Linked DNA regions of Saccharomyces cerevisiae S288C. The gene in region 3 interacts genetically with the main gene of each other region. Each region holds a gene or a part of one and is shown on either strand. Other genes may lie near its edges. The genes, in order: SDD1, YER187W and PRM15.

Region 1 (2,941 bases), on a different chromosome or scaffold from region 3:
ATCTGAATTATCCAAGTCCAAGTTAAATGGTGATACGTTAGCTTTGAGAACTTTGAAGTGTTTCTCTGAATTGATTAATCAGACCGTGGGAGATGCTATTTCAGACATGCTTGCTGTCCTTGCTACTTTGGCGATTTTGAAAATGTCGCCAATGGATTGGGATGAAGAGTATACTGATTTGCCCAACAAGCTGGTTAAGTGCATCGTTCCTGATAGGTCAATTTTCCAAACCACGGACCAGGAAAGAAAATTGCTCAATCCAGTGGGGTTGCAAGACAAGATAGATCTTGTGGTAGCCAAGTATCCCATGGGAAGAAGCTTTGTCAGAGCCAGTGGTACGGAGGATGCGGTGAGGGTTTATGCGGAATGTAAGGACTCCTCTAAGTTAGGTCAATTTTGTGACGAAGTGGTGGAGCACGTTAAGGCATCTGCTTGAAAGCATTATTCGATGTATAGTATAGCTATTTAGATATACAGAGAGATAAATGAAAGAGAAAAAATATTGGTATCAATCAACGTTTGTTACAGGCTTAGACTTTGGTTTGGTAATTGAAATTCATGGTAGTGGAAATAAACAAAATTTTCCTCTTCAATTTTTTTCGTCGTTTCGCTCTGCAATCGAAAATCAAATAATCTTCATAAAAGAAATCACTTTCAATAAATGAACTTCTCACTACCATAATGGATGATGTGGCCGATTCGAAAGCAATACGGTTGATTAACACGGAAACCCCGAGTGATAAGTCACCAAAAAAAATTCTCTTTACGATGAATGTTCCGAATTTGTTCTCCTCTTTACAGTTTTCGTTGGAAAGGTATTTATATGTAATTTCCTTCAGAATTCTCTTGTTTTCTATGTTGGCATTGTCGAGATGAACCTGTTTCAGTATGGCATTGGGAAAAAGTGTAGCTTGTAACTTTAAAACTTGATCATGCAGTGTTGCAGCTAAATTATCCAGAGTAAAAATTTCCTCTTTGGAGTAAATGCCTAGCAAGTTTTTCAGCTGACTACTCCAACCTCGCCTGGCCCTGTGCTTTCTACTTACACAATCTTTGTGATTTGGTGGTAAGGTTTTTGGAAAATGAGGAAGAGTATCTAGTTGTTGGGTAATGTTTCTTTCCAAGAATGATATTTTTTTCATTATGACGTCAATTTCTTTAGAATAAGCCGAGAACTGTACAGTTTTAAAACCCTTTCTGTTGTCATTCCTCTGAATCCCATCATTTGCCATTTAATTTTCAATTTAGTTACTAGTCAATTTTCTTTTTCGCCTTTTGTATTCCATAATATGAATATAAGCTTGGGCTTGCCGATTTTCTCCGCTTAATATTAAGCCTACGCATGATGTAGGTTACATTTTGAAGGGTTTCTTTTAACTTCCTTACTTATTTATATATGTATGAACCTACACAAGGCATTTTACCCTTATTTCTTCCCGCAACATTTGATAAAAAGTGGAAGACGTTTGTGATTGTTATTATCGCCCCAATTTTCTCCTTTTTTTCTTTTCCTTCAACGTCAATCAATTGCACATTCAGCCGATTGGCTTTCTTAGCGCAGGATAGGGTGTCGGGGATACCTGTGGGAAGTTAGTGACACTTTTTTTTCCACTCTCTTCATGGAATCCCCGGACGGCAGCCGCCCGTCCCAATTTTGGCAAAATTGACATCCTAACTGCACGAATTCTCATCGCGTATCAGAACTCTTGAGCCTTCAGTTTTACTACTCAATGCTCTGATTTATCTATATATACATAAATGAAAATAATACGTGCGCATTTATAAGACAAAAAGTTAGAATTCTGACCACGATTGCATGCTGTAGATAATTGTCGTGTTCATTCTCTCTTTAACGGCGCCTCAAGAAGAATATAAAATAATTGCTCTTGCAGTCTCAATGAGTCGGTATGTTCAAAGTGGTGCCCAACATTTACTAATATTGGACTGCGGTACAAAATCGGCGGCTAAACTGTCTACCGATAAAATACTCTTGATTTATAAGAATGAAAAAGAAAACAAAAAGGGATGACCCCTGAAAAAGTTTGTTTTCTTTACCCTTTTTTATGTTAAATTTTACATTTATTACCGTTTACGTCAATCGCAATATACAGGTGGGGCATTGTTATTTGATTTCATAATCTGGTGAGAACGTTATCACGCGGATTATTTAGTTTTTTTAAACCATGTGCGAAGAAATTCTCATATATTGTAGGCATTTCTGACTCAAACTTCTGCTGCTTAAAATAGCTGTTTTCACCTTTTTTTTCCTCTTGTTCTATTTGACATGCTCCCTTTCTTCCTCGGTCCTTTCAACCATTTCCATGCTCCTGTAGGCTCAGGAGCAGAGCGAGGAAAAAACTTCCCTACAGAAAGCTTTCATGTTTTTAACCGGTTTCCTTTCAGCTTTTTCTTTTGGAGTAATCTAGAAAGATTAGGTCATTTGTTCAGTCTATTTGATACTTGATGAGTAGCTCGTCTGTTCTGTTCAAAATAACAATTTGTGAGGTGTACGGATGTTTTCACTGGCATTCGTCGACATGACAAAGACAAACCTTGAAAATAATAATGGAGAATAACTAGAAAGACGTTACTATGCCTCTAATACTTCTGCCTCTCTTATCTCTCCTATCAATTGTGGTTAGCCTAGTAGTCACCAAATAGCAAATTACCAATCAACTATGGAAAACCAAGAGAAACCGCTTTCTGTAGACGAGGAGTACGATTTATGGAAATCCAATGTTCCATTAATGTATGACTTTGTTAGCGAGACACGTTTAACATGGCCATCTTTAACCGTCCAATGGCTCCCTACTCCTGTTCAAGAATTAGATGGTGGCTTTATTAAACAAGAATTAATCATCGGTACGCACACTTCTGGTGAAGAAGAAAACTATTTGAAATTCGCAGAAATTAATCTACCAAAGGAAATTCTTAGTAATGA
Region 2 (2,875 bases), on a different chromosome or scaffold from region 3:
ATATTGTTGCTTTAATGATTCAAACTCTTAACAATGTGGGCAAATATGCGTATGATTTCGTTCTGGGAAAGGATAGTAAGAAGCCTTTTTGATTACAAAACCGTGAAAGACGGTTTAGCAGCTTTTACAGGAAACCTGCTTTACCTTAGCCAGTGTTTTCTCATCTTCAAAAAAAAGTATTGTACGCAACTCTTCCATCTAGCAGAGCTCCCGCTCTTTTTCAAACAAGTTTCATTATATTTATTCTTAATAATTTTGGTATCATCGAGGTGAGGTCTTCGTTGTTTCAACACCAGCTATTTTTCAGCGGCTTACAATTACGTAGTTCTATTAACGAATACACTGGGAGGTGAGTATAATCATGGACTGTAACACTATACGACTCCAACACGTTATATGTATCAGTTATATATATATATTATATTATTTTGGGAAGAGTAGCATTGCTTTTGAAAGTACACGGGGTTTACTTTGGCTCATAGAATGGGTCTGGATATGAAATTCTGAAATATTCAGATTTTGGAGTACTGAAAATATTTAGCAAGAATTTCAAATATTAGTTAGTAAACCAAACCAAGGCATCTGAACTTGAACCTCCATAACTCGCTTTCTAACATAATGAGCTTGTATGACATAATATTATAGAACTCGAGGTTAACCTTTAAATATAAATATAGTAATCTTCATGATAATAATTTCAGGGTAGTGCGCGTATTTGTCGAAAAAACGCAAAATGACAGAAATTCTATGTTTACTGACTTTAGATTTTGTTTTAGATCAATTGGCGGAAAAAGGACGCAGTCTGTAACTTTGATTGGCATCTTGATTTGATTTGTTGGGTGGTTCTCTTACAATCAATGGTTTATTTCATGGAAAGCTTGATGACATGTGATAGCACACCATGCTAATTAGTGAAAAGAGTCCTTGTTGACTTACCACATGTGCAGCCGCCTTTTACCGTGGTGCGAAGCATATTGAGCGGCCTGGAGACCAAGAATGTCAGGGCCTTTAAACAATAGAAGAAGTGTATAGGAAAAAACTAAGGTGTTTTGAGATATTTTTTATAAAAGTAGTATTTCTTAAAAATCAGCGGGGAGCCATTCTTTGAAGGCGCGCTTGCAAATTTTAGGTATTGGGCTTGATTATTTTGGCAAGTGTCATGCATTGTAACAAATCTATATAAAGTGACAATTCTGGAACACTGTATCGTAATCCCAAATAATGTATGTAGAATAGAAAAAAATATATGAAAAAATGAATAGATCATACACAGACGACATGAATAGCAGCCCTCCAAATTACTTGACAACAAGGACGTTTAGAATCGTTAGATTGTTTGCAATAATTTTTGCACTGCTTTTGGTAGCGTACTCATTATTTTTAAGCACACTTAGAACTGGAGCTATACCTGACCGCGCCAACACTGCTGCTCTAGTACGGCGAGCTAGGTGATCATTTGCGACTGGATTAGGACTAGGAGGATTTTTAATTGCTGCAGCCGCTTATGCTACTCCTTACTGGGTCGCAGCAACCTGTATCGCATCCACTAGCGGAATATGTTCACCTATAGCTGGTGCTGTTTTAGCAACTTCAGCAGTTATAGTTGCAGCAGTTTTAGTGGGAAAGAGTTCTGGCTCAGCAACAAAGCGAGGGTTAAGTGAGACTATTAATGTACTGAATCATACTATAACACTCACTGATCATGTGCTCAATGGGCAAACATTGTCTAATGGTACTGGTAGTAATTTTGTTACAATAGAGTTTAGTGGGTATGCAGTACATGACACTATTAAACGTGACGGTGCTGCTGAGATCAACTTTGTGGGGTATACTACGGAGCATGGAACCCACATCAGCACGAGTAGCGTACATAATGTGAGCATGCTCATCGATCAAATCGTGGCAGCGGTACCAGGGGTACCTGATATAAGTGGCAACGCTTCGGCCCTATCGTTACAGAGACGCAGTCAAGAGTTCGCCACCTCATGGATATCAATGACATATAGTCAGAGTTATGGTGACCTGGCACAGAACTGGCAGAATGACGAAGGTGGAGCAGGAAATTTTGATTCTTATGCTGAAGAGAAGTTACAGAATTTCTTTTCAGGTAATAGGGATTGGAAATACTGCTTTGCTGCTGAGGACACGAAAAACGGTGAGCCACTTGATTACGATGACATACCTGGTGACGGTGCAGGCACGGGTTCGGCATTCAAGTCTGAGATATATTTTAACACTTACGGTGGTATAGATAATTATTGTAATGACGAGCATATCGGTGCTCAGAACACTGGAGATGGTCGATAAAGCTTTACGCCTGTCGCTGAATTGACTGACCCGAAATTAAGAACTGTTGACGTAGTGAATTACGATCTAGTTTATATGTCATAATGTAGTAAGTTTATTGGACCCTTCTATATGTTATGTAAATGTAATAATTACATAGTTACTGCTTTTGTACATAGAAACTATAGTTTCTTAAGTACTACCGGATTAGAGGTTTGCTACTATATGTTTTCCTTGTCTCAAGCATTACTGAAACAACTCTGAAACAATACTAAAACATTACTCATATCATGCTTTTGGGTTACCACATTCAACAATAACTCGAATACATTTATAAAAAAAACAAAACTAAGGTACAAAACACACACCACACCACATACGCGCTGATTGGTTTTATGGAAGCTAATAGTTCAGACATAGCTCAGAAAAATAATAATAAGTATTATCAAATATAACTCATCTGGTTACATGCTAAGTTCTTGTCAAGTGATATAGCGTTATCTTTATTATTGAATTAAATTCTATAATTAGAATTCGACTACACCAACTAATGACTCTAAAAAATATGTGATTGCCCTTCAAGATTGCA
Region 3 (4,228 bases):
TGCCTTTTCTATCAAGAGATTAGGACCAGCTCTACTACTATGTTTTTCACTAATGGCATTTGACGCTGGTTCCATAATGTTTAGTGTATTGCCAGTGGAACAAAGCTATTGGAAGTTGAACTTTGCGATGCAGGCTATCTTATGTTTTGGTATGGACCTGTCCTTCCCGGCATCATCCATTATATTGAGTGACGGGCTTCCAATGCAGTATCAAGGTATGGCTGGATCATTAGTAAACACCGTTATTAATTATTCAGCGTCTCTATGTTTAGGTATGGGAGGCACTGTTGAACACCAAATTAATAAAAGCGGCAATGATTTGTTGAAAGGTTACCGAGCAGCTGTATATCTGGGAGTTGGGCTCGCTTCTCTTGGTGTTGTGATTAGTGTGACTTACATGCTTGAAAACCTTTGGAATCGACACAGAAAATCTGAAGATAGAAGTTTGGAGGCATAAACTAGTTAAATGTATATTGATATAAGTGTAGGTACAAACAACAAATATAATGGCATTCTTTAAGTCGCTTGGTCTTAATGTATAGGTTAAAATAGTATCAAAATTTTGTAACTATATTCATTTCATCTGGTCTAAACCATTCACGTCTCAGCACATTCCAAGTCAATTTCGCCAAGAAAGAGGCTCTTTGTTCTTCATTTGCGCAAGCTTCAATATATACTTTAAGTTTTGGTTCTGTTCCGGACCCGCGAATAGTGAAGCGGATATGCTCATTCTCACTACCGTTACTTGGTCTAGCAGATACTGTTATCATTTGTGATGTAGGATCGACGGGTAGAGTAGGTTTATGATTTATGGTATCCGATTGGTAACCAGTGGTTAAATCTCGATAGTAAAGTACTTCGATTTCTTCACCAATAGATGAAGGATATGACGCGCCCTCAGGAGTGTAGACATTCCTGATGTAGTCAAATATATCTTTTGTAACAGTTGGATTTGGAACGACATAATAGCCATTGTACTCTTTGAACACGCCATATTTTTTGAAGCCATTTTCTAAGACATTTAGCGGGTCCAAATTGTGGTCTATTTTCCACTTACAGTAGGCTTGCAAGAAGACAATGGATGCACTGATACCATCCTTATCATGCTCCATTGCTGGAAACATGTAGCCTATTGCTTCCTCGAATCCAAAAGGAACGTAATAGCCTTTCTTTTCCAAGAGTATGGCACGATTTCCGATCCACTTAAATCCTGTTAATGTATCCTCATAATGGAACCCTTCTATTTCTGCCATTTTTTTTATCATTTGTGAAGACACTGTTGAATTTAACATAGCCAACGGATGAACGTGCTGAAATTCTTTGTCCATACTTTTATATTTCTGATATTCATAAAATGCAAAAAGAAAACCGATTTCGTTACCTGTTAGTTGTCGCCATTCGCCTGACTGCATATCTTTAACAGCAACAGAGAATCTATCAGCGTCAGGGTCGTTGGCAACAAGTAAGTCAATGTCATGTTTTTCAGCCAAGTTTATACCAATGTCTAAAGCACCTTTTTCTTCAGGGTTAGGAAATCCAACAGTTGGGAAAGAAGGATCTGGATTTTGTTGTTCAGGAACACATAGGTAATCCTTACCTTCTACCAGGCACAGTGTTTTTTTTACGATGGTGCTGAAAATGTCAAATCCAACCCCATGCATTGGAGTGTAAACGAACCAAGGTTTGGCTTTTACTTCAAGCTTTAATGGGTTGATTTCTACCAGATTTTTAGAAACCTCCTCTAAATATAACTTCAGCATTTCTTCTCTGGAATACATCAATTTCCCTTGTTTGAGAGCCTTATTTAGAACATCGTCGAAATCCCACACATTGGCCCATGGTTCTAAATTTGCGTCAATGGAATCAGAGATGGCATGATCGTGAGGTGGAATGATTTGGCATCCATTGGAATAGTATACTTTATATCCATTATCCATTTTTGGGTTGTGACTTGCTGTTATCATTACGCCAACGGAGGCCTTTAGCTTATCCACTGCAAAGGGAACTAAAGGGGTATGAACAAATTCGTGGTCAGGATTCAAATAATGTACCTTAAATCCTTTTAAAAGAAATGCAGCAGCAGTAGCTCTAGCGAACTCCTTAGAATGGAATCTATGATCGTGTCCCACAACAGCTACCAAATTGTCTGGAAACTGTTGTCTTACATAAGTTGCCAATCCCTGAGACGCTTGTATGACTACTAAAGTATTCATCCTGCTAAAGCCAGCTTGCATTTGCGATCTTAAACCAGCAGTGCCAAACTGAATTCTAGAATCAAATCTTTTGTGTAACTCATTCCAGTCGGATTTTTTGCAGAGAGCGGTGACCTCTTCTATAGTTTTTGGGTTGCGGTCTTGCTTAAACCATAATGATATCGGATCTTTCAAGTCAGATGGTACGGTTTCTAAAATTCCTTGCAACATTTTTTGAAATTGCAGCAGCTAATGGCTCGAGAGTACTGTTGAGTATTTAGGGGGAAAGGAGAAAGAATCAATTAGTTCTCGCTACAGGGAGAAAACAATACAATATATAATGTTCAAAAAAAAAAAACGAAATGAAATCAAAAAAAAAAAAAAAAAAAAAAAAAAAAAAAAAAGGATTTCAGGATATCAAAATAAGCAAAAATATTGTTGCTATTTATCGATTTGTTACAAACGTATATATAATATGAACAATTATAGGTACAAAGACCAATGAGGAAAATGTGTGGAAAGATACGGCATCTGAGCTGCTAATCATCCAGCATATCCATCAACTCTTCCTCCAACTGCGAATCGCTGTCTTCGTTGTCATCCCCTTCTCCTTTATGTTGTACAGGACCATCTTGAGAAGGTTCCGCCTTGGTCTTCTTTTGTGATGTATCATCATGATTGTCCTCGATGCTCCTCTTTCTGTCAATGCCTTCCGAGTTGTTTTCGTCATCACTTTCGTCGTCGTGGTCGTCATCTTCGTCGTCGTCGCTAGCTGTGTCCGGAATATCTTCATCGTCGTCATTGTTTAACCATGAAGTACCAGCAGCGAATAAATTTAGATTTTCTTGTGATGTCAACATATGCTGTTGTTCCTGGGTCTCCTCCAGATATTCTTGTCTTTTTTGTAATTGTGTTTGAAAGTTTTGTAATTCCTCGTCGGAGATGGGGCTGTCCACGATTAACGTGTAGGGTTTTTCATCCACCTTTTTCCAATTTACCAAACACTCAAATATCCAATCTGGGTGAACAATTTTAATCTGTGGGTTGAACTTTTTCGCTAGACGCGCTTTATAAGTGCTAGGGTTCTTGGTGATTAAATGTGTCGTCAGGTAATCTATATCTGGAGTGGAAGTGGCACCAAATGTACTCGTCCATATCACTATGTCCGACCTTTGAATATCGGTCCCGAGGGGTATTAATCCTGAAAAAACAAAATAGCAATTTTGGAAGACTTTTTGCTTCAAACTTGGTATGATTTCCATCAGATTTGGTTCTGGCTCATTTTGTTGTGAGAGCATATCATAATAAGTTTTGTGAATGTTTGATAGCGTACCCATTAAGTAGTATAGTTCATCATCGTCATCAACTAGTAGTTTTTGATCATGCAGGTGTTTTTGTAGTTTGGCCAAGGGTCGATTTTGTTGTTGGACTTCTAAAGATGCTGAATATTCTAGTTTCTTGGTCAACTCTTCTTTGGATTCGTTCGCAGGAGGCTCCTCAGCAGTCGCCAGTTGATGGTTCAATTTTTCTTCTTGGCGTTTAACTTCTTTATCTATCTTTTCTTGTAGTTTTTTTTCGTTATCCATAATATCCGTCAGCAGTTCCTGAGATTCTTGGCTCTTCTGTCTTGTCTTCCTCCCTAGTTGTAGCATTCCTGTAGATTGTTTGGGCAAGAAATTAGAATTAATGTCACCTACACCAACGAAGAAGTTATAAGGAACAACTTTGATCAAGTTTGGACACCAATTCCAAACATCACCTCTGTCGTCAATAACTACAACCATTGACTGGTCAGTGGGGAAAAGTTTAGCTAATGATTTAGTTGTTAGAGACCCATTTTCATCACGCGACAGAATTCTATCGCCAAACAATTCGCCCGTAGGGTCCACGATTTTGGCAATTTGCAAGGCATAAGCCCTTGTAGCCATTGTGTAGATATGCATTTCAAAAAGAGGCGCCACTTTAGCGAAAAATTCCTTTAAACCGGGCCTTACCTTCACGTAGTACCAACATTTTCTTACGGGAGGCGGTCTCAG

The links.
Region 1: mutations in PRM15 (region 3) and SDD1 together harm fitness more than expected from each alone (negative genetic interaction), as found in Saccharomyces cerevisiae (one large-scale study listed by BioGRID).
Region 2: mutations in PRM15 (region 3) and YER187W together harm fitness more than expected from each alone (negative genetic interaction), as found in Saccharomyces cerevisiae (one large-scale study listed by BioGRID).

The regions. Positions count from the first base shown.
Region 1 is NC_001137.3:44,490-47,430, forward strand, and holds SDD1 (Sdd1p), read right to left. Parts: upstream 1,233-2,941; coding exon 531-1,232; downstream 1-530. Other genes in the region: phosphoacetylglucosamine mutase PCM1, read left to right, coding at 1-436; HAT2 (Hat2p), read left to right, coding at 2,679-2,941. UniProt on the Saccharomyces cerevisiae protein: Acts as an endogenous target of the ribosome quality control (RQC) pathway. During translation, the nascent chain has a propensity to stall ribosomes, thereby stimulating activation of the RQC pathway.
Region 2 is NC_001137.3:564,349-567,223, forward strand, and holds YER187W (uncharacterized protein), read left to right. Parts: upstream 1-1,881; coding exon 1,882-2,307; downstream 2,308-2,875.
Region 3 is NC_001145.3:820,958-825,185, reverse strand, and holds PRM15 (phosphoribomutase PRM15), read right to left. Parts: upstream 2,424-4,228; coding exon 555-2,423; downstream 1-554. Other genes in the region: ATR2 (Atr2p), read left to right, coding at 1-457; FCP1 (protein serine/threonine phosphatase), read right to left, coding at 2,732-4,228. UniProt on the Saccharomyces cerevisiae protein: Major phosphoribomutase that converts ribose 1-phosphate to ribose 5-phosphate. Involved in ribose salvage via the pentose phosphate pathway.